Linked DNA regions of Ovis aries. The protein of the gene in region 5 interacts with the protein of the main gene of each other region in a pairwise test. Links are inferred from orthologs where the notes say so. Each region holds a gene or a part of one and is shown on either strand. Other genes may lie near its edges. The genes, in order: MARCHF5, KASH5, TIMMDC1, INPP5K, FATE1 and SYNGR1.

Evidence for each region.
Region 1: the proteins of FATE1 (region 5) and MARCHF5 interact in binary tests that used the Homo sapiens proteins (3 or more experiments, as listed by UniProt). The two-hybrid records come from large-scale screens. The link is inferred for Ovis aries from reciprocal best matches to the Homo sapiens genes FATE1 and MARCHF5.
Region 2: the proteins of FATE1 (region 5) and KASH5 interact in binary tests that used the Homo sapiens proteins (3 or more experiments, as listed by UniProt). The two-hybrid records come from large-scale screens. The link is inferred for Ovis aries from reciprocal best matches to the Homo sapiens genes FATE1 and KASH5.
Region 3: the proteins of FATE1 (region 5) and TIMMDC1 interact in binary tests that used the Homo sapiens proteins (3 or more experiments, as listed by UniProt). The two-hybrid records come from large-scale screens. The link is inferred for Ovis aries from reciprocal best matches to the Homo sapiens genes FATE1 and TIMMDC1.
Region 4: the proteins of FATE1 (region 5) and INPP5K interact in binary tests that used the Homo sapiens proteins (3 or more experiments, as listed by UniProt). The link is inferred for Ovis aries from reciprocal best matches to the Homo sapiens genes FATE1 and INPP5K.
Region 6: the proteins of FATE1 (region 5) and SYNGR1 interact in binary tests that used the Homo sapiens proteins (3 or more experiments, as listed by UniProt). The two-hybrid records come from large-scale screens. The link is inferred for Ovis aries from reciprocal best matches to the Homo sapiens genes FATE1 and SYNGR1.

Annotation. Positions count from the first base shown.
Region 1 is NC_056075.1:13,570,877-13,575,760, reverse strand, and holds the start of MARCHF5 (E3 ubiquitin-protein ligase MARCHF5), read right to left. Parts: upstream 3,271-4,884; 5' UTR 2,946-3,270; coding exon 2,911-2,945; intron 1-2,910. UniProt on the Homo sapiens protein: Mitochondrial E3 ubiquitin-protein ligase that plays a crucial role in the control of mitochondrial morphology by acting as a positive regulator of mitochondrial fission and as an important regulator of immune response.
Region 2 is NC_056067.1:55,593,979-55,598,419, forward strand, and holds part of KASH5 (protein KASH5), read left to right. Parts: intron 1-2,731; coding exon 2,732-2,836; intron 2,837-3,255; coding exon 3,256-3,442; intron 3,443-3,887; coding exon 3,888-3,952; intron 3,953-4,441. UniProt on the Homo sapiens protein: As a component of the LINC (LInker of Nucleoskeleton and Cytoskeleton) complex, involved in the connection between the nuclear lamina and the cytoskeleton.
Region 3 is NC_056054.1:185,153,249-185,157,689, reverse strand, and holds part of TIMMDC1 (complex I assembly factor TIMMDC1, mitochondrial), read right to left. Parts: intron 3,755-4,441; coding exon 3,589-3,754; intron 541-3,588; coding exon 452-540; intron 1-451.
Region 4 is NC_056064.1:22,526,259-22,530,699, forward strand, and holds part of INPP5K (inositol polyphosphate 5-phosphatase K), read right to left. Parts: intron 4,279-4,441; coding exon 4,162-4,278; intron 3,820-4,161; coding exon 3,644-3,819; intron 3,043-3,643; coding exon 2,931-3,042; intron 2,284-2,930; coding exon 2,174-2,283; intron 1-2,173. UniProt on the Homo sapiens protein: Inositol 5-phosphatase which acts on inositol 1,4,5-trisphosphate, inositol 1,3,4,5-tetrakisphosphate, phosphatidylinositol 4,5-bisphosphate and phosphatidylinositol 3,4,5-trisphosphate.
Region 5 is NC_056080.1:84,011,284-84,016,257, forward strand, and holds the end of FATE1 (fetal and adult testis-expressed transcript protein), read right to left. Parts: intron 2,785-4,974; coding exon 2,678-2,784; intron 2,307-2,677; coding exon 2,231-2,306; intron 1,467-2,230; coding exon 1,335-1,466; 3' UTR 879-1,334; downstream 1-878. UniProt on the Homo sapiens protein: Involved in the regulation of endoplasmic reticulum (ER)-mitochondria coupling. Negatively regulates the ER-mitochondria distance and Ca(2+) transfer from ER to mitochondria possibly implicating it in the regulation of apoptosis.
Region 6 is NC_056056.1:216,597,982-216,603,106, reverse strand, and holds the start of SYNGR1 (synaptogyrin-1), read right to left. Parts: upstream 3,249-5,125; 5' UTR 3,198-3,248; coding exon 3,099-3,197; intron 1-3,098. UniProt on the Homo sapiens protein: May play a role in regulated exocytosis. Modulates the localization of synaptophysin/SYP into synaptic-like microvesicles and may therefore play a role in synaptic-like microvesicle formation and/or maturation.

The DNA.
Region 1 (4,884 bases), on a different chromosome or scaffold from region 5:
CTGGGTCCTAACAGGTTGACATATTTTAGTCTCTTGAACTTGTCAGTATTCCTCAAATGAACCCATCAAGTATCTTTGTGTTCAACTTGCAGGGGGGCTAGCCCAGATTAAGATGATAGTAAATAGAAAGGAGATGAGGGAGGGGTGTGTGTGTGTGTGTGTGTGTGTGTGTAAATTGCTAATTGATTGGTTACATTAGAATTTTTTTTAAAAATATTAATTTATTTGGCTGGATTGGGTCTTAGCACAATGCACACAGGCTTCTCTCTAGTTCCGGCACTCAGGCTTCCTTGTCCTGTGGCATGTGGGATCTTAAGTTTCCCCAACAGAGATCATACACACGTCCCCTGCGCTGGAAGGCAAACTCCCAATCACTGCACCACCAGGGAAATCCCGGTTATACCAGGATCTTAAGTACCTTCTGTGTGCCTAACATACGAATGGCATTTTATTGTTGTATAAAACACAACAGAGAGCCTGTACAAGAACAACAACAAAGTACTTATACTTGTTCTCATTTATACAGTCCTGTAAAGTAGGACATTATCATTTTTTAAAGATGATGTAGAACCTCAGAATTTAAATCCAAAGTCATATAGCCGGTAAGTGGCAAAAAGAGAATTTCAAGATTTCTGTCCAAGCTTACCTCACTAAAAAGTACTATCCCTTATCATGAAACAATCACTTAGGGTTTAGGGTAGTGGGAATTCCCTGGTGGTCCAGTGGTTAGAACTCTGCTTCCACTGCAGGAGGCCCAGATTCAATCCCTAGTTGGGGAACTAAGATCCCTCGAGCCATGTGGCACTACCAAAAACAAACAAACAAACAAACCCTTTAAAAGTGATTTTCAACCACAACAAACATCTGAAAAGCTTTTAAAAATACCCATGCTCAGGCCCTATTCTCCAGAAATCTGTGAACTAATTGGTCGTGGGTACAGTCAGGCATCTATCCATATGTTAAAATACTCCTCAGGTGATTCCAACAGGGGGCCAGGCTGCAAAATGATCTTTGAATATCATCTTAAAGAGATATGTCAAAAAGAGAAGATGAGGGAAGCCAGTATTACAGTCACCTGTTTCAGTATATGCAGCCAGAATTTCCAAGTTTCTGTTGAGACCAACTGTAAATGTCTTGCTGGCACTCCTTGGGTTTTTTACTTTTATGGAAATCTCCAAAGCCAGATCAGCTTTTGGACACAAAAGTCAACTACATATAAGTGGAAAGCAGCAGGCCCTCAGAGGGGGTAAAAATTAATTACAAAATACCCAGCACCAAAATAGGGTCTTTGATTGGAATTGGCAGTGGCAGAAAATGGTCTCCTGTGGGCATATTTCAGTTGTCCTATGTAACTTGCCAGTATGGTAAATTATTAGACCACTACAGAACTGGTGAGAAAGACAAAAAAGTTCATGCATTTGTTCATAAAAGTATTTACTGATGACTTGCTTTGTACAGGGGGTTGTAGAATTTGAAATAATGACTTCTGCCTTTCAGGAGCTTGTAAACTACTTATATAAAAAGGGAGTAGTCAATACAACTTGATCTGAATGCTCTCCTAGAACAAGGGTTGGATTAATCACTGGGTCACCCCAACTGAAAAAAAAGTCAGTACCATGATTTCTAGACGGGGGAGCCTGGTAGGCTACAGTCGAGGGGGTCGCAGAGTCGGACACGACTGAGCGACTTCACTTTCACTTTCCACTTTCATGCACTGGAGAAGGAAATGGCAACCCACTCGTGTTCTTGCCTGGAGAATCCCAAGGATGGGGGAGCCTGGTGGGCTGCCGTCTATGGGGTCGCACAGTCATACACGACTGAAGCGACTTAGCAGCAGCAGCGGCAGACGTCCCAAAATTCTAAGCTCCAAAGGAAATGTCTGTCACTTTGAAAGAAGAGGTACTCTTGAGTGATTTGTGTTCTGGGTGTGATCCAAGCATAATTTCATTGGGTATAATTTCATTTAAGGGAGCCTCTTCATTTAACACTTTCCAGTTGGATTTGTTCTCAGTATAGAGCTATATCACACGCTGAAGTGGGTAGCGAGTGGTCTACTGAGAGTTGTAGGCAACGAAAACATACATTACCCAATAGCATTGGCGTTGCCAGGAAGTTATGTCCTTAGTGGAAAATGCGGAGTAAGGGTCTCCAGAAACTCGTGGTAGAACCCAGAGACTAGAATTTCAACAGCAGAGGGCTCTGCAGCCGATTTCACATAAAGTTTTACCGACCGGACCCTCCCCCTCCCCCTCCCCCGCCCCCAGGAACTTGCCGCATGACAAGATGAAACTTTCTCAGGGAACTTAACGCATGGTAAAATACACGAAATGTTCAGGGTTGGATTTCTGTGTTTCCCATAACCTCTACTCTGGTCTGACCGTTAAAGTCCCTTGCGGATACTCTTGGTCTTATAGTTTGGGGTTGGGGATGCGGAGGAAGGAAGAATGAAGTTTGCCCATGAAGCTTTCCAAACGAATGCTTATTTTTCCTCGGCTTTTGGAAAGAGTTAAAATTGGAGGAGGATCATTCCTCAGAAAATTAGTTTGGCTCTTCTCGCCAGTGACATCTCGGGCAAACACGTTACAACACCGTTTGGGGGGAGGGGAGGAGAAGAGTGAGAAAAAGAAACTAATTCTCTGGGTTCATAGAAGCCCCTCTCACTTCGCAAAGGCGTTCCGACGAAGCTAGACGCCACTCCTTAACTAAGTTTCGCTTTAAGTCTACGCATCCAGGCCGCCCGCTCCGTCCTCCCGCAAGTACTGACTCCAAACTTTCGGCCCCTCGCCCGGCCCCCAGGCCGTAGAACTCCTCCCGGCATGCTGGGCTCCGCTCCGAAGAGCCCCGAGGCCGGGCGCGGCAGGGCCGGAACGAGGATCAGCTGCTCGCGTCCTCCCCAAAGGCTGCCCGTACCTGTCCAGCATCTGCTGTAGGGCTTGGTCCGGCATCTTCGGCGGAGCCGGCGCACTCGCCTCTCCGGTGAGCCCGGTCAGGGCCGGGCCCAGGACAATAGCACTGAGAGGCGGCGGAGTAGGCCTCAGTCCGGCGGCAGCCGCGAACCCGCCACCCAGCCTCCCGGGGCGGCTCCGCGAGCCCGGCGGTGGCGGTGCGCGGCCCGCGGGCGTCCGGAGGAGGCAGTGGGGAGCGAGGAGGAGGAGCCTAGGGCGGGGAGACGGCAATCGCGGCCGGGGTTCCTGCCCGTCGGCCCGGGGTTCCGGTCCATGGACCGCGGGCGCCGAGTTGCTGCCGGCGGAGGAGCTACCTCTGTGAGGTAAGAGTCACCGCCTCCGTGCGCGCTGGGGTCACGACGCAAGGCGGCCCAGAGCAGCCTGGGAGATGTAGTCCTCGGACCGTCCCCGCTAGAGGCTGCACAGCCCGCCCGGACCACCGCCGCCGCGCCCGCCGCCGCCCGGCCGGCGCCCTCCCGTTTCCTTCCTCCAGGGGGAAAAATGTCCTGCGGGCCGCTTTCCAGGAAGCAGCAGGATGTGCCGCTCCACTGTCAGTAGCATCAAGGTCAGCTCTCCCTGCCTGTTTTCTCTCAGCTCTGGTGCTCAGGTGGGACCGAGCCAGGTGAGGGGTGGGATCTAAAGGGCCATTTCTCGGCAGGGTCTCCAGTCCCGGCCGCGGCGTCGGGGTGGGCCATGGAGGGGGTGGGGGTGGCAGAAAGCGTCTTCGGAAGCCCTCAGCGCTGGGGCCAGCCTCTGCGGCGTCTGAGCCCATTTTGGGGAGTTACACAACCCCTGCAAGGGGTCGGATGCTCTAGTGCGTGAGGTTATTCCTGAGGGGTCGGAAGGGCAGGGGCTGCCTTGACCAGAAGGTTCCCACCCGAACCTCTCAGTGTATGTTTCTCAGGGCGGGGGGAGAGGGGTGGGGTGTGTGTGTGTGTGTGTGTGTGTGTGTGTGTGCGTGCGTGTGTGTGTGTGTGTCGAGGGGAGATTATTCCCTCCCTCTCTAGGAACCTTCTAAAATGTGCCTGGGCTTTCAAGGGCTTGCCAATAGTCTCCAAATGGAACATGGTCGTGAATAAACAGCTCTTGCTTACTCAGCTGTGGGTTGTCAGGGGTGTTTGTTTCTCTGTCTGCTGCTGGTCAGTGTTAACCATTTCTAGTCGCCTTGACACCTCCAAGCAGGTGGATGTGTGTGGAGGAGAGATCAAAAGGAAAAAATCATAAATCGCTCGTTGAAGTTATTCTCTGATGCTCTAGGGACAGCTTTGGCGGGAGGAAAAACTGTTGGCTAAAAGGAAGGAGTCTTTTGGACGACCTGTGGCGTTCTCTAGTGCTGTGATTGGTAGAACGTTTGGTAGTTTTCTCCTGACGATGCCTAATTTCTGCCGCAAGATGTTTGATTTTTCTTTACATTAAAATGTGTTTTTAAAGTTCTTTTAATTTTTACGCAGAATTTTGCAATCAGCTCTAATTTCTTGCTTACAGTCTGCTTCCTGAATATATTTGAACTAGAGTGTACATCGCCAGGAAGAAAAATAAAAATAACATGTGACCAGAAGTTATTTGGCCTCTGATTTCTGAAAGATGCTTTTATGAAAGACTTTGGGAATTTACGTGACTAATTATAATTAATGCTTTACCCTTTTCTCATGAAATGAGAAGCAGGCCCATGACAGGGGAGGGAAATAAGTAATTTATTAAGGCATTTGAGATTTTAAATTCCTATTTATTACTACTCCTACTGGGTAAGTCTTCTCTTACCGTGTGTTTATCTGTTAAAGCAATTGTCAGCCAGAAGGAGATGGATACATACATTCTGCTCAAAAAACAATTTTATTCTAGCATATTGATTGCATAGGTTAGAGCAGACTCCATTTAATTTTATGACTTACATTAAAAGGAATTTTCACCTCATCTTAGAATTTCTGTTTGAACTTCA
Region 2 (4,441 bases), on a different chromosome or scaffold from region 5:
ACACACACACACGTAATTTTAAGTTTTGTTAGTAGCCACATTGAATTAAAAAGAAAAACAGACAAAATGGATGGCAATCATAGTATTATTGAACCTAATACATCTAAAACAGTGTCCTTTCAGCATACAATCAATGTAAAAATGTACTGAAGTTACTCTCTTTTTTTATAAGTTTTCAGCATCTGGCATGTACTTTACACTGACATGAGTGTGTGCATGCTTAGTCACTTCAGTTGTGTCTAACTCTTTGCAGCCCTATGGACTGTAGCCCGTCAGGCTCTTCTGTCCGTGGGATTCTCCAGACTAGAATACTGTAGTGGGTTGCCATGCCCCCCTCCAGGGGATCTTCCTGACCCAGGAATCGAACCCACATCTCCTGTGTCCCCTGCATTGCAGGCGGATTCTTTACCCACTGAGCCACCTGGGAAGCCACTTTATACCAATAGAGCATCTCATCTCACTCTCACCACTGTTCAGATCTCAAGAATCACTGTGGCTGTCGGCTGTCCTGCTGATCATGCTGCTAGGGAGCAATACCTGACATATAATAGGAACCCAGTTACTAACTTTTGAATGATCAGTTGGACACAGACCAAATGGGTGTGAAAGTGGCTTCAGGAGGAAGATGTTGGGTTGTCCTTTCTGAAACTCATCTACTAAACAGTGAGAGAGCCAAGGGAGACTCCCACCCTAGAGGAGAGACAGGGCCCCTTTCTTAGAGGCTCTTAGCATCTAGCCTCAAAGCCGGTGTCTTCTCTCTGGCCTCAGGAGGCTTGCCAGATAGGAAGGCAGGAGGCAGACACCTGGGCAGGCTGACCAAGTGACCAGCATCTGAACGTGTAAACTTCATGTGCACCAGCAGAGGGCGTGCGGCCGCCGAGGAACTTGTGGCCGCGCTTTGGGAGACTCCCAGAGAAAAGGGAGGGACACACCCAGGAGAGATGGAGACTGAGGAAAGCAGGAGATGGAAAGAGAGAGAGTGACAGTGGAGGAAGGAGAGAGAAGCCTTGGAGAGTCGCTGAGTTACGGGAGAAGCAGCACAGAGACGAGAAGATGGGGGTGGAGGACGTGGAGACAGGCAGGTGGGACTTGAGGGCCAAAGAGATAGGGAGGAGAGTGGAAAGAGTCGGAGACAAAACTGGAGAAAGGACAGGACAGACAGAGAGGTAGAGACACTGAGGAAGGAAAGAGAACAGGAGAGAAGCAGAGTGACTTCTTCCTGAGGGGCCCCGGGAGGCTGAGGGTCGCATCTGCGCTGTAGATCCATGCAGCTCCTCAGATCCCACGACATCTGGAGCCAGGCAGTCCTGGGTGACCTCACTGGGCCACAGGGTCCTCCTGTATAATGTAGGGGGGCACCACGTCTCCCCTAACTGTAGGTCCTGCTCCCTTTCCTTAGAAGCCGAAGTTCAAACCCGAAGGGGCTAAATTTTTAGCTCAGTACAGAGAACCCTTGAAGAGTTAGTGCGATGAGAAATGGCAATCAGATGTTGAACATGTGACCTTGGGCAAGTTTCCCACTTGTCTGTGCCTAAGTATCCTGGTTTGTAATCATAGCAGCCACTGTGGTTCATGTCAAATGCTCAGAAGAGGCGTGGCTCCTAGTAAATGCTGAATAAATGTGCAGTTTTATTATCGAGCTTCCAGATTTTATTAATATCTTATCTCCTCTCTAGGAGGGAATTAGCCCCCACTCACCCACCCACGCATTTTCCATAGGAAGAAACTGAGGCTTAGAGAGACTGAGTCCCTTGCCCAGGTTGCACTTGAGTCTGCCAGACCTTGCAGCCTGCACTCTGCTACACCCATCTGTTCAGGGGCAGGGCAGGAGCTTCAGCGGTCACTTCCAGCCCCTGGAGAGATCCAGTGGGTCCAGGGGTGGAGAATGTGTAGGCTCCTTCTATATCTTGGAGCATTTTTTGAGTGCTGCTTTGTGTGGGCACAGTGGATACAGCAGCAGACAGACCCCAGGATGTTCACATTGTGCGGAGGTGGGAAGCAGGAAGTGCTCTTCACTTACACAGACCTCACCCTCCCAGCCCCAGGGAGGGGGAGGATCACTCTATCCACCCATTTTACTGGTGGGAAAACTGAGGCTCCAAAAGGCAAAGAGACTTGCCCACAGTCCTGCAGCTGGAACTCTGAGGTCGGAACCGCACCACCACTCACCCTGGCTGGATTGTCCCATCCCCCTTTGTTTCAGGCCCCAGCCCGTGGGCGCTGATGATGCCAGCCAGCCTCAGGGATGTGGGGAGGAGAGACCCAGCCCTGAGGCAGGCTGAGAGACCGGAGATGCTGAGGGCAGGCGGGATCGATCCAGGCTGCCCGCGCGATATTGGATTGTTCCTGGTTCCTGGGCCCCCTTCACCCTCCGCTTCTCCCAGAATCCTCTCTTCTTCATCCTCCTCTGTCCCTCGCCCCCTCTAAGCCAGGGAAGAGAGGGGAAAAGGCTATAAGAGGGTTTGTTCAGTATTGTGGGCTCCTGAGCCGGTTGGACACAAGGGATTAGACAGCGGGGGCGGGGGGGGGCACTTCCTGGCCTGAAGGATGAGGGGGGCCCACATTCCCAAATCGGGGGATGGGGAAGGTGACTCGAGGACCCTCACCTTGTGGCCCCCACCAGCCCAAACCCCAGGCAGCTTGGAATGAATTCCCTCCCCTCTGCAGGAGCCCCTCTTTGTTCTTCATCGTCCCCCTCCCCACAGATGGGCTGGCCCTCTTGTCTCCTCAGTGTACCTCTGGGACCAGGCAGAGGACGGGAGCCTGGGGACACTGCTCAGCTTAGAGGAGCAAATACTCAACTCCACGTTCGAAGCTTGTGACCCCCAGAGAACAGGTCAGAGGGTCAAGGAATAATAAGGAACGAAGCTGGGGGGCTGAGAACTGGGGGGCCACAGACAGAGGGATGGGCTGGGGTGATGTGGTTGACTGGGAAGCTTCAGGAAGGAAATGGATAGGGGATGGTGAGGGGAGGAAACCTGGGGGAGGAGGGTAAGCAGAGGAAGGCGGGGCTTTGGAGCCTGGGGGAGGGGGAAAGGGCAGCCACTGTGGGCCTAGTGGGGCTCAGCTGGTCCTCTTTGGTCCAGCTCTGAGGTGCAGATGACTGGGCCCCGTTTCCAGGTGAAAACGTTGACTCGGGGGAAGAAGAAGGAGTTGCCCAAAGGCCACGGTGCAGGGGTGCCACCAGCCCAGCCCGTGGTCCCCACCCCTCTCCTTATCCTGACGCAGCCTCCCTCACAGCCTCTCTGTCCCCAGGCACTGTGGCTGTGACCCATCTGCTAGCCTACCTGGAGGCCGTGACTGGACAGGGTCCCCAGGATGCTCGCCTCCAAACACTGGCCTGCAGCCTGGACCCCAATGGGGAGGGCCCTCAGGCCACTGTGGACTTGGACACCTTCCTGGTGGTCATGCGGGACTGGATCACTGCCTGTCAGCTGGATGGGTGGGTCCCCGCACCTCCATCCCCCACCCCAGCCCCCTCAGAAAACCTTTCTTAAGACCTAAGCTCATACCTGCTTACTGCAGCCAGCACGCTTTGGGCACAGGGACCTGCTGTGGTTGGAAGGAGGCTGAGAAGAGAGGAGAGTAGAGATGAGGTTGGGGTGAGGGAAGGGTCTGAGGGCAGAAATGAAAGGGGCTGGAGAGTGGAGAAGGGGGATGTTGAGAGGCTGACAGAGGCCCCTCCCCACCCCTCCAAGCACAGGCTTTGCCCCTCCTGCTTTTCCATCTGGCCCCAGGCGCTTGCCATCTGGCCTCACCTTCCTCCCCACGGTGCTTGCTCTCACCTGACCTGGCCCCCTCCCATCACCCGCAACCCCCTGTCGGAGGCTGGTCAGGATTGGGGGGGGTTGGCTGCAGGGGCCCTAAGCCTCATCCCTTTGATACAGGGGATTAGAGCTGGAAGAGGAGACGGCCTTCGAGGGAGCCCTGACCTCCCAGCAACTGCCATCTGGTGAGATCGCTATATATAGAATGAAGCAGGCAGGCCTAGGGTCAGACAGTGGGGGGGACTTCCCATGGGGGCAGAGCAGGGGATAGGGCCAGACCCCAGAGACATTTGTTCTAACCTAGCTTTCTAGGCACCTGCATGACTGCCTCCCCACATGCCCTGAGCTTTGGGGTTTGCATTTTTCCCCTCAACGGTTGTTTTCAACTCCTCCTCCTGACACCAGCCGTATCACGGAGGTCTCTCCCACCTCTTACCAGCATCACCCTTCCCTGCACTCTACTTCCTGCATCCTCTGTCCCTTTGGTCTTGCCCCACCTCCCGCCTGGCCTGGGCTCAGGCTGTTTTCTCAGCCTAAACTTCCCATGTCTTCCCTCCTCCTTCACTCGGGGTAGGGAAGCCCTGGTGGGGAAAGCCTGGGATGCTGCAAGTGAAGGTCCCTTTCTCTCCAGCATCCTCAGCACAGTTCTGCATCCCTTCCCTGGAGAAATCTGT
Region 3 (4,441 bases), on a different chromosome or scaffold from region 5:
CTGCATCTATTCTGATACCAGCTGGCAGGCCTTCATGTGCATGCGTGCTCAGTTGTACAAGGTGCTCAGTCATGTCTAACACTTTGCGACCCTACAGACTATACCTCTCCAGGCTCCTTCTGTCCATGGAATTTTCCAGGCAAGAATACTGCAATGGGTTGCCTCCTCCTCCTCCAGGGGAATTTTCCCAACCCAAGGATCAAACCCACATCTCCGGCAACAGCAGGCGGAATCTTTACCACTGTGCCACCAGAGAAGCCTGGCAGACCATCATCCATGGACACAAAACTACAGCTGGACCAATCTTTTGCATAAATAGATAACAGTTCTTGAGAAAAAGGTATCATAGATCACTTTTATATGGGTGTTCAGATTTAACACCTCCATTTGTTGAAACAATGTGCTCCTAAAAGAATACCTAAAATCCTTCATGACGATTCAGAGAACTTACTTGAATATAGTCACAAACACGGCCGTTCTCCAACTCCAGCGCCAGCCATACCGGATGAAGCCTCGTGTAGCAGCACGATGGGCAGATTGCTAAAGTTAACAAAAAGGCTGTGAGGTTCCGAGATACCTTGATACTTTCCATGTTCTAAAACTGTGGTGGAGGAATGTCAGCTAGGAAATAGGTAGGGACACCTAAATAGATACAAACAATAGAAAATCTCTAGAAATGTCATTCTTCAATTACTGAAACTTAAGCAAATGCACCATGTGCACTCTATTCTATCACAGGGTGTAAAAGGAACTAAGAAATGCAGTGTCAACCAAGTAATTCATCAGTTAAATAGCAACTAAGAATCCATATGGCAAATACTATGAGCAGACATAAAATCAGTATTAGACATGCTTTTTTTCAAGAAATTGTGGGGAAAAGAAAAAAACAGAAAATAAAGAAGGAACACTGAGTAAACTATAAACAGTAAGGATTAAAGTAATACAGATGTGCATGAGAGGAAGAAAGGAAGAAAAAAAACCTAATCTTTACTGACCACCTTCTACGTAAAAGTTGCTAACATATTACCTCATTTAATCTTTACAACATTTTCTTCAAGCAGGTGTTAAAAGGCATAAAGAGAAAGTTTCTAACCAAGATCACTCAGCCAATAAAGAATAAAGTCAGAATTGGAAGTTACGTTGTCTGTGTCCACCGCTCATTTTCATTAACCATCATGAAGCAAGTCTGGCATAATATTGTGAGGGTAAAGCCTAGATTTTTAAAGAATCTGACAGAATCCCTAGGTGTAGTCTTAGCTACTATACGATACTGGGCAGGTATACTCTTTGAAAGGTATCAGTGCAAACTCATGGCTTTTACTGAATAGGCAGACAAATATAGAAACAGAGATATATGTATGAAAACGTATATAAATCACACACATACATACACATTTCCTAGCTCTATCTGCCTAGACACCATCATACCTCAGTAGCAATGAGCATGCCTAGCCCCAGATCTTGGTTTTTAAATACCGTTTTCTTTTTGCCACTTTATTTTTTTTTTAATTGAAGGATAATTGCTTTATAGAATTTTGTGGTTTTCTGTCATACATCAACAAGATCAGCCATAGGTACACCCATGTCCCCTCCCTCCCAAACCTCCTTCCCCATCCCACTCTTCTAGATTGTCACAGAGCCCCAAGTTCCCTGAGTCATTTAAATACCATTTTAAAAGAAACAAGGCTGGTGCTTGAAAAGATGAACCAGAAAAACCATGCTGTGCTCCAAAGTAAAGATGTGCTCAAAGACTAACGGGGACATCATCAAAAGGACACAGGAGCTAGCCTGAAGGGATTCCAACAGTCTAAATCGATGCCAAGTATCAAAATAAATGATGGTAATAATGGATTATAAAACCATAGAATAACATAAGAGTCAACAAGTCCCCGCTGAATAAATTATAAATGGATAAATGGACAGATAAATAGAGGGAAAGTGAAAGCTCTTCCTTACAGCAGAATACTAACCAATAAATATACATGGATGATGGAATTAGAAAATGGCCATTTGGTTACCACCACAGTAATAACTATTTTAGGAAAGAATCAGCACTGAATACTGAAACCAGAGGGTGAAAAATTGATGAAAAATAGGATATTTGCATAGTCTCAAAGTATCTAATAAGTATTTCTAAGATATTTATTAACCACAAAGGGAAAAACTCAATAATTTTATAGTGGATAAACATGGCAGGGACCATCTTAAGTGATTAAAGTAAGTATCCCCAGTTGAGGGACAAATAGGTATCTCATGCTTCTTATCATTACTTACTGGGAAGGATATAGTATTAACTGTAGGGTATTCCTGTGAAAACACTTAAGTGAAATTTAATCACAAGAAAACATCAAATGTCCAAATTGTGGGACATTCTACAATACAAAATAAAAGGCCCAAGTATTAAAAAATATTGAGGTCACGAAAGTCAAAGAACAATAGAAAAACTGTTCCAAATTAATGGAGACTGACTAGAGAGGCACAACAGGCAAATTCAACATCTGATCCGGTACTAGATCCTGGACCAGAAAAAAAAATTAATTACTCGTTTACTTTAAAAATAACGTTAGTGGGACAATAAGCAAAATTTACATAAAGTCCATTGATAAGATAATAGTACTCTATCAGTATTAATGTCCTGAACTGCATAATAATATTGTGGTTATGTAAGAAAATGTCTTTGTTTTTTAGGAAATGTATGCTGAAGCACTCACCATGCCTAAAACATACTCCCAAGCAGTTCACAATAAAACAACAGCATGCCTCATGCAGGGAGAATAAGAAAGCAAATGTGGTAAAATGTTAATGTTTGGGGAATCTGACTGAAAGGTGCACAGGAATTCTTTGTACAGTCAGCCCTCAGTATCCCCAGAGTTGGAACCTGAGGAAGTGGAACCATGGATATGAAGGACGTATGGTACTATGGTTTTTTTAAAAATAATAAAAGACTCGAGCATTTGTGGATTTTGGTATCCACACGAGTCCTGGAACCAATCCCTCTTGGACATTACAGGACACTGGCACTACTTTTGCAACTTTTAAAACTTGACACAATTAAAAAAAAACAACAACATAGATTTTAAAAAACAAAAAATTCTGAGCCATAACTTCCTCACTAGGACAACAGAACTGATATACAGATGTAAGATACAACAAATGAGTCAGCACTCAACAAACTGTAAAGCTCTAATTGTTAATGATTATTTTAGTGTGAGCTACTGTACTGCACATAGGCTTTGTGAATAGGATAAATACACTACAGCTGAACCTTGATGATTTAGCAGGAGATTAGAAATATATTTCAGAAAGTAGAGCCACGGTGGTGATCAATTCTAGTAAGAAAAGTGGTCTGACAAAGTTTGAGCACGCACTATAGCATTAGCACTTCCACTATTGCTGAGTAGACTTTGTTTCCTAAATCTTCTCAACCCTACTACCTAGCTAGATGATTAAGTATAAAGTGAGCAGCAAAAACTGCTGCTGCTGCTAAGTTGCTTCAGTCATGTCCAACTCTGTGCGACCCCATAGACGGCAGCCCACCAGGCTCCCAATTGGCATGCCCCCAAATACTATTAGAACACCAGTACGTACCACAGCATCAAGCTGGTTGTGGTAAACTTCTGCTTGGCTCTGCTCAATGTAGCGCTGTTTAGCATGAATAAATGCTGGTATTCCCCCATATGCCCAGCCAATGATGCCTGCTGAAGCTGCTGCCTTGTAAATATCCTGAAGTTCTTTTGAAGTTCTCTGCTGTTCACTAAAACATCAAAAAGACAATGTTGTTTGGGATTAGTTTATGGATACTGCTCTCCAAAAGACAGTATGATCAGAATTATCCCAAATGCTAAATAGGACTTAAGTTTTTCATGATGGACAGAACCAATTAAATCTTCTGATGAATTAAATAATTATATTGCAAGTGGCTCAAATCTCAGTTAAAACTAACCTATGCTTTCAGAAGTTAGATTAGTAGGTATTCTTGGGAAGGCAGGGGCAAGGACAGAGAAGGGGCACAAGGGGGAGCTTCTGGGACACTGTTAACAGTCTCTCAGGGCTGGATACAGACCTATGCTTAGTGAAAAGTCACTGACAGGTATACTTATGTACATTTTTCTAGGTGCATATTTTATTTATACTGCAATAAAAAGTTTTTTTAAAGGGTTATTTCATTTGATGACTCTTACAGCTCTACTATATCCCTGGAAACAGAAAGAATTTGTAAACTGGATGCAGAAATTAACAATTACCTTTTTGAATTTTTAGGTAACTTTTGGAAATTATAAAAACTTATGGGATTTTAGGACAATATATGCAAGAATGAATACCTATATGTAAAAAAAATACCAAAATTTTATCTTTCTGAATATTTAATTTTTATGTCATGCTCAGATGGGCCTGTACTATCTATTAAAGACCACTGAGTGAGAAAGCTCATGATGCAGTG
Region 4 (4,441 bases), on a different chromosome or scaffold from region 5:
TGTAAGAAGTCAGTATCAACACTGTCTACCCAACGAAGATACAGTAGGAATCAAGTGAAGTGATGCGGGCAAAGCCCTCTGCCCAAAGCCTGGCCCGTGGTCAGCACTCAGCGATGTCAGTCACAGTGTGGATTGTATCTATCACATAGAAATAGCACCTGCCTTCTCCTTGGCAAGCGTTTTGCTATCCTAGCCCTGACCTCCTTTCTGCTGCTAGCTGGCAAGACTGGCTGTGCGGACTTCCCTGGTGGCCCAATGGTTAGGACTCCACGCTTCCAATGCAGGGGGTATGGGTTGGATCCCTGGTTGGGAAACTAAGACCCTACATGTTGTGTGGCACAGCCAAAAAATAAATACACATTAAAAATAAATACAATTCATCAAAAAAAAAAAAAAAAGATTGGCTGTGAACTTGGAGGCACTGCGGGCTAGAGGAAAGCCTCATGGGCAACACAGTCTGGAGAGGTCTAGCCCCGGCTCCACTATCACGAGCACAGCCACCTGGGGAAGATCGTGAACGTCTCTGAGCCTCTCTACACCGCCTGCGTGACTTCCAGGCTCCTGAGGCTTCCCTCCCGAACCCGGGGTTATAAGCAGAGTGATGCCTGGCCACGTGGCCTGTTAGCAGCTCTCTTCCTGCGGGCAAGTGTCACCTGGTAGAGGATCTCGGCTTGTCCCACAGAGGCCTGACAATTTCCACGATGATCCTCATTTCCAATGGGTGGCCAGGGAGACGGGCAGTCGCGGACCTGGGCCTGTAGGCCAGTGGGACCCTGCCCTCTTCCCTACTTTCTGGCTTGTGCTGCGGCCCAGGCTGGCCCTCGGTTCCAGTGTCTGTGGCCTCTTCTTGTGTGCACTACCCGTGGCTGTGACCCCACTCTGTCTTGCTCCACACGCCTCAAATGGCTCACGCTCTCCTCATCGCTTGGTGGGGACATTGTGGCTCTGCCACATGGCTTCCGGCCCTGGGCCAGCAGGGCCCCTCTCATCCTGGCCTGGCTGTGGACAGATCTACTTACCGCCTAAATCCCAGAGGACTGGGCTGCCCTGGGGGCACCTCCTATCTCCCTCAGAAGACAATTCTGCTAGGGGAATACAAAGAGCCCCATAACATGTAGGGGGTTATTATTCTTCAAAGAGATGAGGGTCCCTGCCCTAAATCGGGTCAGGGGCTTTGGGTCCGAGCTACTTTTGCCCCACTGCCTAAGTCTAAGGTTTTAGTGGTTACCTATCCCTTTCTCAGTTCTTTAGAAAGGCTTTCAGTAAAACTCCTACCTGAAGACCTGAATCTAAAAACAACAACAGCAGTTATCATGGTGCCTACCGGGTGCCAGGCACTAGGCTAACATGCCGGGTCTTATTTATTTCTTTTTAAATATTCATTTACTTGGCTGCCCTGGGTCTTAGTTGCAGCACGTGGGATCTAACCAGGGATCAAAACTGCACCCCCTGCTTTGGGAGCCAGGAGTCTTAGCTACGGGACCACCATGGAAGTCCTTTGGTGGTCTCAATGAATCCTCAGTCCCATGAAATAGGTACTGTTATCATCCCCATTTTATAGATGGAAAAATTGAGGCTTAAATACCATGACCAAGGTCATTCTGCCGATAAAGCACAAACTGTGCTTCTAATTTCTAACCAGGTGCCCTATCTCTGCATTGTTCCCCATTAACTGCCCCACTGACAACTCCTACTTCATCTTCCTTAACTAGTACTCAACCCACTCACAGCCACGGCAGGACTACTTAACACCAGTGGCTGGCTGAGCCAAGCTTTCTGTCCCCACCATCATCTGGGCAGGACCAGAAACACTGTGGGGGCAGAAGGGCAGGAGTCTGAAGGATGCTGAAGTACAGTCCCTCCCCGATCTCCCCTGCCCTGCCGTCAGCAATCAGCTGTCTTCCCTCCCCTTTGGTTCTACCTGCCCCGGCCCCAGCCCCTATTCTGGCCAGCACCAGCTCCCCATCCTGCTCCCTCCTGGGACAGCTCCCACAGGCAGCCTCTCATCAGGGGTACGGAGGTACCACTCCTGAGAGGTGATGGCTGGATCTAGTCCTGCTCCCCTGACACTTCTAACTGAAGGTGGCTCCCATGATCACAAGGGCCAGCATGGTCTGACTTTCCAGGCCCAGATCTGTGACAGGCACATCCTCTCCCGGTGGGGCCCTCTCACCTGGTGTCATAGTTGTTGGAGTTTTTATCAAACTTGTAGGTGGGTGGGAAGAGCAGGGAGCCTTCCTGGAATTCCCGCAGCAGTGGGTCGTGTCTCTTGGCGATGCTGAGCTGGAGGAAAAGGGATCAGCACTTGCCGTCACAGTGGGGCAAGATTCAAACCTGGCGGTACCCTCCCAGTCAGACTGCTCCTCACTGCCCCAGCCCTGTACCCCACCCCCAGGACAGCAGCTGAATGCGAACGCAAACATCACCCCCTCACTCTCACCCCGTAGTCCCAGGGGAGGGAACCGCCTGGCACTTTCCAGTCCTTGAACCACAGGGACCAGGCTATGAATTCTATTTCCCTAGGGGCTACTAGCAGAAGTGTATCAGAGGGGAGGCTGGAGTAGGCAGATGTCCCAGTGGGTGGCATCTCACCCTCCAGGAGGCAAGACAGGTTGGGAGTGGGAGAGACCACAGGGACATTCAGGGCTGGTGCAGGGCAGGCCAAAGCCCTTCTCGCTCCCTGACCTCACACACACCTGGTGCTGGAGCGCCTCCAGGTGGAGACCAGGCTGGCCAGACAAGCCTGGCTGCCCCGCTCCCAGCAACCAAGGCCTATTCTATTAGACTCTGCCCTGCCTGGGGTCAGGGACTTTTGAAGGCTTGGGAAAGGAGAACGGGCGCTAGGGAACCTCCCCACACCTCCTGCTGACCTCCCTGCCCTTGGGCTCAGAACTCTCCTCTCTTGGGCTCAGATCTCCACTCTCAGATACCTGATCCTTCTCCCACAGGTCACTGTAGCGCTGATTTTTTATGGATTCTCGAACAAAGTGCAACCCGAAGTCCTCGATCCGAAAGTTCATGTCTCCAAACCAGAGAATGAGGCTTCAGAAAGAAAGGAAGGCAGGCGGCCTGAGGGTCTGTGATGGGGTCAGAGCAGGCAGGAGGCCACAGGGGCTCTGACCGCTCGCTGCAAGGCTCGAGCAGGAGGCTCGAGGGGCGGGTCAAAAGCCAGAGGCTGAGAGAGGATCAGGTGAAGACAAGGGTGGGCTCCAAAGGGCCTGTTCTCCTGGCCCCACCAGCCATTCAAGCCAAAGGGACCAGCCCTGAGAGGCAAGTGGCAAATATGGAGCAGGCTCTAGCCCTCCCTCCCTGTCCCCCAGCTGGGTACCCGGCACCAGGTACCCCACAAGGCACACCTGAGAACCAGCCCTTCCCGGGGACCTAGGAACCACAAGGTTCTTGACCTGGGGGAAGCATCCAGAGTTTCTAGGCAGGACAGAGGGGCCAGGCAAAGGGAAGGGGTCCCAGACCCCAGGCAGGCAGAGCTGGAGAGGAGAGTAGACAGGGCATCAGGAAAGAGGCTGCGAGAGGGCGGGAGATGGGGGCAGACTGACTCTGGCAGGGAAGCAGTGACCGGGCAGAGCAGGCTTGCCGGGGCTGGCCTGGGGAGAGGGTCGGGCACGGTTCACAGCAGCACGCTCACTCATGGTCCAGGATGTTGGGGGTATCTTGTGCCTCAAAATTCTGCATCTCCAGGATCCGGTCAAAGTGCTCCAGCCGCTGGTCATTGTTGGCCATGTGGGGGGGCAGGTGGCAGTTGATGATGCTGACATAGTAGCCGTAAAGCTTCAGAAAGATGTTGACACCCCCTTTGTTCCCCTGGTAGGTGGGCAGGAAGTGGGGGGACACACCTCTGTTTTCCCATCCGGGGCCTGAGGGCAGATGGTCTCAGTTCCTGCGGGATCTCCCAGGGTCAGCAGACACTCACCTCCGCACAGCCCAGCTCACCTACCTGCCGTCCCAGGGACACTAGGCCCCCCAGAGGAGGGAAGGCAGCTATGCGGGGCACTGGCCTGGACAGAGTGCCAAGATTCATTTCACCCCCTCTTTTCAATTCAGTCAATCCCTTTTTCAGTTGCCCAGCTCTAATGCCGTCAGCCCTCCCCCATCCAGTGAGAGAAGGCCCCCAGCTCTTGACTCAGAAAACAGCTCAGTCCTTACCCAGTACCCAAAGAGGCCGGTAGGGGTGGATTTAGTAGACAGGACCTGGATAAAGGGCAAATGCTGGTACTTGGCAAAGATCAGTAAGAGGAGCCCTTGCATGCGGACACTGGAGACCTGCGGGCAGAAGGGTGACAGTCATTCATGTCCCTCCAGGGCCTGTGCTGGGCGCCCTTGAGAGCCCTGCCTGAGCCACACGGATGTCCTGCCCTAGGGGTCTAGGGCATCTCAGGGCTGATGGGAGTCTCAGCTGCCAAATGAGGCAATCTGGGGGCTCCGC
Region 5 (4,974 bases):
TTTTCTTCCCCTCACCCTCCCTCCTCACTCATACACACACACTCTCTCTCTCTCTCTCTCTCTCTCTCTCTCTCATACACACACACACGCACATGCCATCATGTTTATTTTATATCTAGTGACTAGCACACTCTCTCATCTTTAGAGATGGAGAAGCCTTGACTGACTTGGGGGCTGGGATAAGCTCTGTTGAGCCACTAAAGCCAATAACAATGTAATGATCCAGGTCCTTGCCCGCGGAGAAATGTGTATTTAACCCTTGGTCCCAGAGAAAGGGCAGCAGTTCTTTTGATGGCCTCCTGGCCCCCAGCACATTGGCCCTGAGGCCAGGCCCGAAGCAGTGACACTCCTGCCCTCTTAGGCCAAGTCCCAGTACCATACTCAGCACACTGTCCTCTATGAGAACATTTCAGAGCTGTGGACACAGAGGAGAAGGGTTCAAAGTCCCTCTATGTGATCTCCCATCCGGCCTCCGAAGCTGAGTTGGGGCTGGTCCCCAATCGATCTGTTGGAGGAAGGCCAAGCCCTAGACCCTAGGGCTGTCTCAGGTGACCCCAGGGCCATGTTTCCCTTCTTTGGGCCTCAATTTCTCCTGAGCAAATGGAAAAGTTTGTGGTCCTATCCAGGAGATTTCTCTGAATGAGTCCCTGTAATGTCCAACTAGGACAAGCTGCTGCTGCAAAACTATGTCCCCATAAGCATTTGCTGGTGGAAGTCCCACAGGAAGGGCTTTGCCTAACTCTGCCCCTAAGGAGTGCCTTCCCCAACTGGGCAGGCAATGGAGAGGCAGGAGGAGCCTGGGAAGGAGGAACCAAGGATTTTGTCCAGAGGGGCTGTCCCCATGCGAGTCCTGGATGCAAGAAATTCAGTCACCAGGGTTTGCTGCTATAACTGAACTTTTATTGAGAATATTCTGTGTGCAGAGCCCTGAGCACAACCTTGAAGAAAACAGGGAAGACACAGCCAAGCCCCTGCCAAGGATGGAACAGAAGAGACACTGAGGGCCCAGAGGCAAGGTCTAGCTCCAAGATGGTCACCATGGAGCCCTGACAGGGAAGGAGGAAGCACCTACCACTGCTGTTACTGTGGGGACTGGAAACCACCATCCTCTCCCTGCAAAGAGGCTGGATCTCAGTCCATTCTGACCTTCGCGATTCTACACTTCCTCCACCTCCCAGCAGCTAGGGCCTCCCTCGGGCAGAGGTGGAAAATGGTGGCGATACTGTTGAAGGCTGCTGAAAGTTAGAAGGAGGATGGCAGAGGTGGCTGAGGGAGAGAAGGGAAGAAAGGGAGGACTGAAGGGCTCTAGCTGCACGGCGGACCGGCAGGAAACATCACTGGCGCATCCACAGCCATAGGTTGGCGATGCAGGAAGACAGCAGCATGGTGAATAACAGCACCTCCCGTTGGTGCCAGGTGGCACTCTGGTCCTCCAGGTAGCGCAGACGCTCAGTAATCATGAACAGCTGCAGAGAGACCAGAGCTAGCTGGTGAACAAGGCTCTTCTAGGGAAGTCCACAGCACACCAATGGGGGTAAAATATGACTTTAGACCAAGGAGGGCCTCTGCTGTGCTTTGGGAGGAAAAGGGCCTCTGGGCAAGAAGCAGGCAGAGCAGCTGACCAGGGCTGGGGATGGGCCCAGTGTAACCCAGAGACTGGGCTGTCTGTGTTCTCAGTCCCTGCCACCTTGCCTCCACCATCACCAGTTCTTCCCATTGTCTGGAAGAAGCCAGCCCATCCCAGCTGCCAGGGAAGGGGATGGGGTGCAGCAGCACCAGAGTAAGGGCCTCAGGATGGGGTGACATGCAAGGCCAGAGAGGGCCACCAGGGAAGACATCCTTCCTGCCCATGCCCATGCCTGCTGGGGTCTCAAACCAAGGAGACCTGAACTTGGCCTGAATGAACATGACCCCTGGCTCAGTCCTCTTGGCATCACTCTCTATGAATAAACTTCTCTTATCCTCTGATGTCCCCTCTTCCTCCTCTTCTCCTCCCTTCTCCCTTCCCACATGTCAGGCATAAAGATGGGGTTGAGCCTAGGCCTCAAGATAGGACACTGGAGACAAGAAGGCTGGGTGAATGGGGAAGCAAGCCTGATTTCGCCTCCACTGCTAGCAGATGAATATGATTGGAGAGGCTGGGTATCCTCAAGGTGGGTGGCCCCACCCACCCATTCACCATGATTCTGCCTCCCACCTTCAAGTGGGTCCCTGACAATCAGACACTCACCTGTCTTCTCATGATCTCCATCTCCAGCTCATTGAGCTCTTCCAGACCAATCTCAGCCAGTGTATTTAACTCTCGGCTGCACAGAGAGTTAAACACAGAGAGTCAGAGCCTCTGGTGGTCCCAGGAGAGCCATAAAGGCAGATGGGTAAGGTTGTGGACTTCTCTGGACCATGAGTCTGTCTGCCTGGAGCTCTCCCCTTCTCTGGTCACAGGTCCTGAAGCCTGAGGGCTGGGAGCTGGCCCTGCTGTGGGATGCTAGGAGGCCCTGAACAGGCAAGGGGCCAGGGGGCTCTATGGCTGTGGTGAGGAGGCAACAGAGTCCCCATACTCCAAGCATGGCCAGCTGTTCACTGCTCCCTCTTGGGCAGTCTGCTTGCCAACTCCCTGGGTCCCTGCCCCAAAAGCCCTGTCCTTTCTCTCCCGCAGGGTCCATGGGATCCTTCTTACCGCTCATACTGGGACCTCATGCCCTGGGAGCCGCCAGGATTCTCCTGGGGTCGGGCACCACCATCGCCTTGTTCTCCCACCACTCCAACTCCCCGCAGCTGCAGCCCCTAGGGAAAGGAACCATCAGTCAAAGTATCCTGCTTGGGCCCATACTTTGGGAGCATCAGCACACCCCATTGGGAGTCACGTGGAGCCTGATCCTCCAGAATCAGAAGAGCCTGGGAGTCACACAGGTTGGCTGCCTGCCACCACCCCACCTCCACCAGGCTCCTCTGGCCATGGGGCTCTCCAGGCAAGACTTCAGGAGTGAGTTGTAATTTCCTACTCCAGGCGATCTTCCTGACCCAGGGATCAAACCCACGTCTCCTGCATTGCAAGCAGTAAGATACCTCAAAAACAGCATTAAAAGGACAGTGTGTGTCAGGAAGACTTCAGGACTATAAAGAAGAATTAGATAGAGAGTCTCTCCTAGAAAAATTTCCACAATACCCCCTTGATTTTCTTATAGATTGGGATCAGAATGAGAAAATGCTTTTTGAGAGAGTTGAAGGCAAAATAAGGATGAGTTAGTAGGGTGTATTGTTTGTTTGTTTGTTTGAGGTAAAATATTTTATATTTAACACATCAATATCTTAAGAATTAATTTAACAACATATGCAAGCCTGATGATAACTTGTGATCACCAATCATTTGATAGGTCTAACTGTCCAAAGGAGTTGTCTTTTCTTTCTTTTCTTTTTAATTTTAGAAACTCTCTACTTAGAGTTATATACATTTCAAAACATCAGATTTTTATTTACATTTGATGGGGATTTTTAAAATCTATGAACTGCAGCAAGTGCAGCCTCCCTCTGTCAATTATTTCCAAAAATGTTATTTTTATTTTCATTTATTTTTTAAGGCACACTACATCATTTTTCCCAAATGAGCAGAGTAGTATTATGAATTTTTTTTTTCTTTCATGTTGTGGTTCTCTCAGAGGCAATAGCATTTCATTAACATTTTACTCAAAAATAAATAATGAATAAATATATAGAATTTATACATTTAATTCTAAGTGTCTAAATTTAATTTCTACAATCAATATAAGGACTCTATTTTTTAAAGGTATATTCCTCTAGTCCTAATAGGCAACTATAATTAATCTAGAGATTAATTAAACCCCTCTCAGTGCCCCCACCTTCTACATCAAAGTTAGAACATAAGCAGCTTGCCCACATCCAAGGTGAATATAGCTAACAGAATCAGCCACAGAACTACTAGACTTAAGTGATTTCATGAAACAATCAGGTCTCCCTCCTCCTCAAAATGGCTGGCTTTTCCCCATATTTAATGCATGTGAAGAAGATATGGTAGAAAGTGAAGAACTAAAGAGCCTCTTGAAAGTGAAAGAGGAGAGCGAAAAAGTTGGCTTAAAGCCCAGCATTCAGAAAATTAAGATCATGGCATCTGGTGCCATCACTTCATGGCAAGTAGATGGGGAAACAGTGGAAACAGTGTCAGACTTTATTTTGGGGGGCTCCAAAATCACTGCAGATGGTGACTGCAGCCATGAAATTAAAAGACGCTTACTCCTTGGAAGGAAAGTTATGACCAACCTAGACAGCATAATAAAAAGCAGAGACATTACTTTGTCAACAAAGGTCTGTCTAGTCAAAGCTATGGTTTTTCCAGTAGTCATGTATGGATGTGAGAGCTGGACTTTAAAGAAAGCTGAGTGCCAAAGAATTGATGGTTTTGAACTGTGCTGTTGGAGAAGACTCTTGAGAGTCCCTTGGACTGCAAGGAGATCCAACCAGTTCATCCTAAAGGAGATCAGTCCTGGGTGTTCTTTGGAAGGACTGATGCTAAAGCTGAAACTCCAATACTTTGGCCACCTGATGTGAAGAGCTGACTCATTTGAAAAGACCCTGATGTTGCGAAAGACTGAAGGCAGGAGGAGAAGGGGACAATAGAGGATGGGATGGTTGGATGGCATCACTGACTCAATGGACATGAGTTTGGGTAACCTTCAGGAGTTGGTGATGGACAGGGAGGCCTGGCGTGCTGTGGTTCATGGGGTCACAAAGAGTCGGACACGACTGAGCGACTGAACTGAACTGAACTGAATGCAACAACATGGCCACCATTTTCTCTACAACATTCCCTCATATGGTTAGTATAATTTTAAAAATTCATTACAGAGGAACAAAATGTAACTCGGCTGATTTTCTAGAACATCAGGTCTTCCTGCCTCTCCAGTCAATTTGCCTTCCCTCTACCTCCTATAACCTTTGCAACAGTAAAACAACCATGTT
Region 6 (5,125 bases), on a different chromosome or scaffold from region 5:
ACATGCTTTGGGGGCCCACTTTCAAATAAATAACAGAAATAACAAAGATCTTTTACAGATTTTTACACAATCAAGAGCCCATGTGCTCTCAATGCTAGGGCCCCTCCAGGGCTGCAAGAAGGGTCTGGGGAGCACAGGAATCCTGGACAGAGTGACCGGCCATCTTGTCTGTCTGGGACAGGGCTGCTCCCAGGATATGGGACTTCCTGTGTAGAAGGCAGGAAAGTTCTGGCAAACCAGGGAAAATCGGTGATGGATGCTCAGACTCCACTAGCTCAAAGGTGAAGCTTAAGACCTGCCAGACTCTGTGGGGAGCAGAAGGAACCCGAGGGCAAAGGACAGGTCGGCACATGTGTCCACGACATGACCCCAGCATGTTAAAATGTCTCAGGACACCATGTGTTTTTGAGAAAGACTGGAAGGAGACAGAGGCCCTTCTTATGAGGTGGGATCACATGGGCTTTTTCTTCCTTTTTTTTGTGGTAAGATACATACAACATTGGAATAGAAAATGGCAACTCCAATAACCTTGCCTGGAAAACCCTTTGGACAGAGAAGCCATGCTAGGCTGCAGTCCATGGGGTCACGAAGAGTCGGGCACCACTGAGCACACACACACATAACGTAAAATTTACCACCTTAACCATTTTTAAGTGTACAGATCAGTGGTGCTAAGTATGTATATATCATTGTACAATCATCACAAGTGACTTGTGTTCTCTGTTTATTGGCAGGTATTACTTCTAATGACTAGGAAAAAAAACCTATGTACATTTTTAAAAGTGTCAATCAGCCTGTATCAGACACCTCTGCTCATGTAAAGGTAGTGAGCAGGGCTGGGAGGCTGTGGGGGCCTTTGGGGTATTGGATGGGGGCTGTGGACCCAGATGACCCTTATCCTTCCCCAATCTGAGATCTCAGGATTCCAAATGCTTCCTGATCCAGGGAAAGCACTGTGCTTTGGAGACAGGAAGGTTTGAGTTCAAATCCTCTTCGTTTGCCACCACGATGCTCAGTAACCCTGGGCCTCTCTGAACCTCAGATGCCTCAAGTGCGTCTCCAGGGGAAATAGGTGAGCAATCGTGAGTGCAGTCCTGCACACAATAGGTGCGTAGTGACTTTTTCTGTCTTCGGCTTGGAAGGTCCTCCCTGTGCATGGATGTGCACGCCTGTCAACCCTCCTCATTCTTCCAGGCCCAATTTGACATCACCTTCTCCAGGAAGCTTCTCTGATTCCTCCCCGAGCGCTCCCAGCCTCTCTGCCTGGGGGTGCCTGGCTCACTCCCCGGCAGGACCGGAGGCTCCCTGGCACTAAAGGGATGTGTCTGAGTCATGCCACCTTCCCTCTGGGCCTAGCCGACTCAATAAAGCTTCGCTAAATGAAGCCATCACCAGCAGAAGTGACCCAGGCAGACAAAACGCCCACACCCCCTCACAAAGCCGGTGACTTCACCCTCCCAGGCCAGCGGCCCAGAGGCCAGGTGAGGGAAGCAGAGCACAGAGCCGGCCCACCTGGTCAGGCAGGTGTCCCCCAGAGCTGCACTGTTGCCGAGGATTTGCCAGGGTCTCTGCGGAGCTGGAGACGACACGGATGAATGAACCTGGCACCACAAACCTTCCAAGATGTACCCCTGGGGTGCCTGGCCGTGGGCCATCACCGGGCTTCCCTGCCCCCAGAGAGCTCCCCATCTGGGGGGCACTTGAGAAGCCTGGAGTGTAAATGTTGCCACGATGCTTCCTGAGGCACCAGAGGCAGGTTTGAACGTTTTAAGACAAAGCAAAGGTAAATAGCTCCCTTTTCCTCTGGGAGGCCAGAGATAAACACCCAACGGTCCCACCCATCACACGCTAATGTGGCCCTGAAAATCCAGGAAGTGAGGGAGCTTGAGCATGCCTTGGCCTCAGCGGGCTTCAGGTGCACCCCCTGGGGTGGCTGGTAGGGCCCCTGCCCAGTGTCCCCAGTGCGGGCACTTCTAACATAGGCCCACAGGCAGGGGCCCCAGGCCTGCAGAGGCAAGACCCTCTAGTGAGTGGGCCTGGGCAACCCGAGGGAGCCCCAGATACCCCTTTCCAGAGAGGGGCAGGCCTCCCTTCCCTGGGGGTGCCTCCCAGGCCATGTGAACCCTTCGCCGTGTGCTGGTTCTGTCCCATCCTCTCCTCAACCCCAGCTTTGAACAGGGACCCCCCCACTCAGCTCTCTGCACTGGGGTATTCTGCCCTCACCAGGCTGGAGGTCAAGTTCGGGCCTCTCTGCCCTTCTCTGTGGGCAGGGGTCCTTTCTCCGGCTCCCACGCCCCACTGCTGGGGCATCCAGGTGTGTTCAGGGCTTGTCCCCAGCCCAAGGAGGTCTCAAGGAGGCTCCTCCCATCTGGCCACAAATAGGGAAACTGAGGCAAGCCAGAGGAGGTGACGCTGCCCATCTCAGAATTTAACTACTTGTTTCCCAGGAACATTTCTCCAGTGGCTTCCAGCCCAAGGTCACGCTGCGGGAAAGGCAGTTCCCAGTGGAAGCCAGGAATCCGGCTCCCGCCGCGTCGCTCCACACTGTCCAGGTTAAGCCACAAAAGCCCGGTTTCCTGCCCTCTCCTCCTTGAACGTCCATGGCAAGCGCGCGTGCACCCCCACGAGACGATCCACGCCCTGATTCACCCCCCCACTCTCAAAAACAAGGCCACCTGGTGATTCACCGACACACACCCCCCCTCAAAAAAAAAAAAAAAGCCACCTGAAACCAGGGTTTGGTCCCCACGGTCGCCAGTCCGCCCAAGCGGCCGCACGCAGCCCGAGCCGTGAGGTGGCTGGTCGCGGCCTGGAGGTCACCGCGACGCGGGGGAGAGCAAGTAGTAGGGTCACCGGGAAGCCAGGGGTGGGGGAGCAGGAAAGCCTCCGCGAGCGCTGGGCACCCCTGTCCGGGGGCTCGGGAAGGAAAGAGGGGCGGGCGTCAGAACCCCGGGCGGACGGCTCCCCACCAGCGGCCGCGCCCGGGTCCCCCGGTGCCCCGGGGGTAGTTGGCGTCCGTCCCGGCGCTCGGCCCTTGCCCGCACCTCCCACCCCGGCTCCCCACCCCGAGTCCGGCCGGGCCACCCGGCCGTCCTTACCCAGGAAACGACGCGCAGGATGGTGTGAGGCTGCCGGACCAGGGTGTAGGGGTCGAAGGCGCCCCCGGCTTTGCCAGCTCCGTACGCACCCCCTTCCATCGTGGCTGCACCCGCGCGGTGCCCCCCGTTCGGCGCGCGCCGCCGGCCCGTGCGCGTGCGCGGCGCCCCCGCCCCCTCCCCGGCTCGCGCCACCCGCGTGGTCGAGGGCTCCCGCGAGGGGGCGCTGTGCGCGGAGGGAGCCGGGCGGGCGCGGGTTCTGCGGTCCGGGCGGAGGGCGCGCTCGTCGCCGGCTTGGTGACCTCTTTGCTAAGTAGAGGGGGCGGGGGGACGAGGAGGGGGTGTGTGTGTGCAGCAAATGCAGGGCTTGTCGCCGCCCCCCAGGACCGGGCCGCCCTGCGACCATCACTGCCCCCTCCGAGCCTACGCGGCTCTGGGATGAAACCACCTTCCTTACTTGTTTGCTGGTTTCCTGGCGATCTGTCTTGCCCCCAATATAATGAGCGAGGAGGGACCGCCTTTGTCCTCTTTATGGGGTGCTTGGGACACAGGAGGTGCCGCAGGAAGACTTTTCGAATGAATGAACCGTGAATGAATAACCTTTCTCTCGAGAGCCTTCTGAAGCACAGCTCCCCACCCCCTGCCCAACCTCCTAGCCTTCCACCTTGCTTTTACGCTCACTGCTCAAATCCTATGTGTCCTCCACTCCCAGCCTGGAGGGGTCAGCGATACTTGGCTCAGAAACAAAGGCGGAAGAAGGACAATAAATTCTTTGGGAGAGGTCCTGCCTACCCCCACCCTACCAGCAGGCTTCCCAGGTAGCTCAGTGGTAAATTATCTGCCTGGCATTTCAGGAGATGATGGTTCAATCCTTGGGCCAGGAAGATCCTCTAGAGGAGGAAAGGTAACTCGCGCCAGTATTCTTTCGGGGGAAATTCCATGGACGCAGGAGCCTGGCGGTCTACAGCCCATGGGGTTGCAAAGTGTGGGACAGAACTGGGCATGCAGGAATGCCAGCCCACCATCATACTGTGCTTCCAGTAATTAGTATTATTTGTTCATCGTCTTCCTCTGCTAGTGTGTGGATTTTGTCTACTTTGTTCACTGCTGTAACCAAGGGCCTGGCACACAGTTCAGTCACTCAGTCCTGTCTGACTCTTTGCGACCCCATGGACTGCAGCACACCAGGCCTCCCTGTCCATCACCAACTCCTAGAGCCTGTTCAAACTCTTGTCCATCGCATAGGTGATGCCATCCAGCCATCTCATCCTCTGTCGTCCCCTTCTCCTCCTGCCCTCAATCTTTCCCAGCATCAGGGTCTTTACCAAGGAGTCAGTTCTTCGCATCAGGTGGCCAAATATTGGAGTTTCAGCTTCAGCATCAGTCCTTCCAATGAACATTCAGGACTGATTTCCTTTAGGATGGACTGGTTGGATCTCCTTGCAGTCCAAAGGACTCTCAAGAGGCTTCTCCAACACCACAGTTCAAAAGCATCAATTCTTCAGTGGTCAGCTTTCTTTATAGTCCAACTCTCATATTCATACATGACCACTGGAAAAACCATAGTTTTGACTAGATGGACCTTTGTTGGCAAAGTAATGTCTCTGCTTTTTAATATGCTGTCTAGGTTGGTCATAGCTTTTTTTCCAAGGAGCAAGCATCTTTTAACCTCATGGCTGCAGTCACCATCTGCAGTGATTTTGAAGCCCAAGAAATTAAGGTCTGTCACTGTTTCCATTGTTTCCCCATCTATTTGCCATGAAGTGATGGGACCGGATGCCATGATCTTCGTTTTCTGAATGTTGAGCTTTAAGCCAACTTTTTCACTCTCCTCTCTCACTATCAAGAGACTCTTTGGTTGTTCTTCGCTTTCTGCCATAAGGGTGGTATCATCTGCGTATCTGAGGTTATTGATATTTCTCCTGGCAATCTTGAGTTCAGCTTGTGCTTCCTCCAGCCTGGCATTTTGCATGATGTACTGTGCATATAAGTTAAATAAGCAGGGTGACAATATACAGCCTTGACGTACT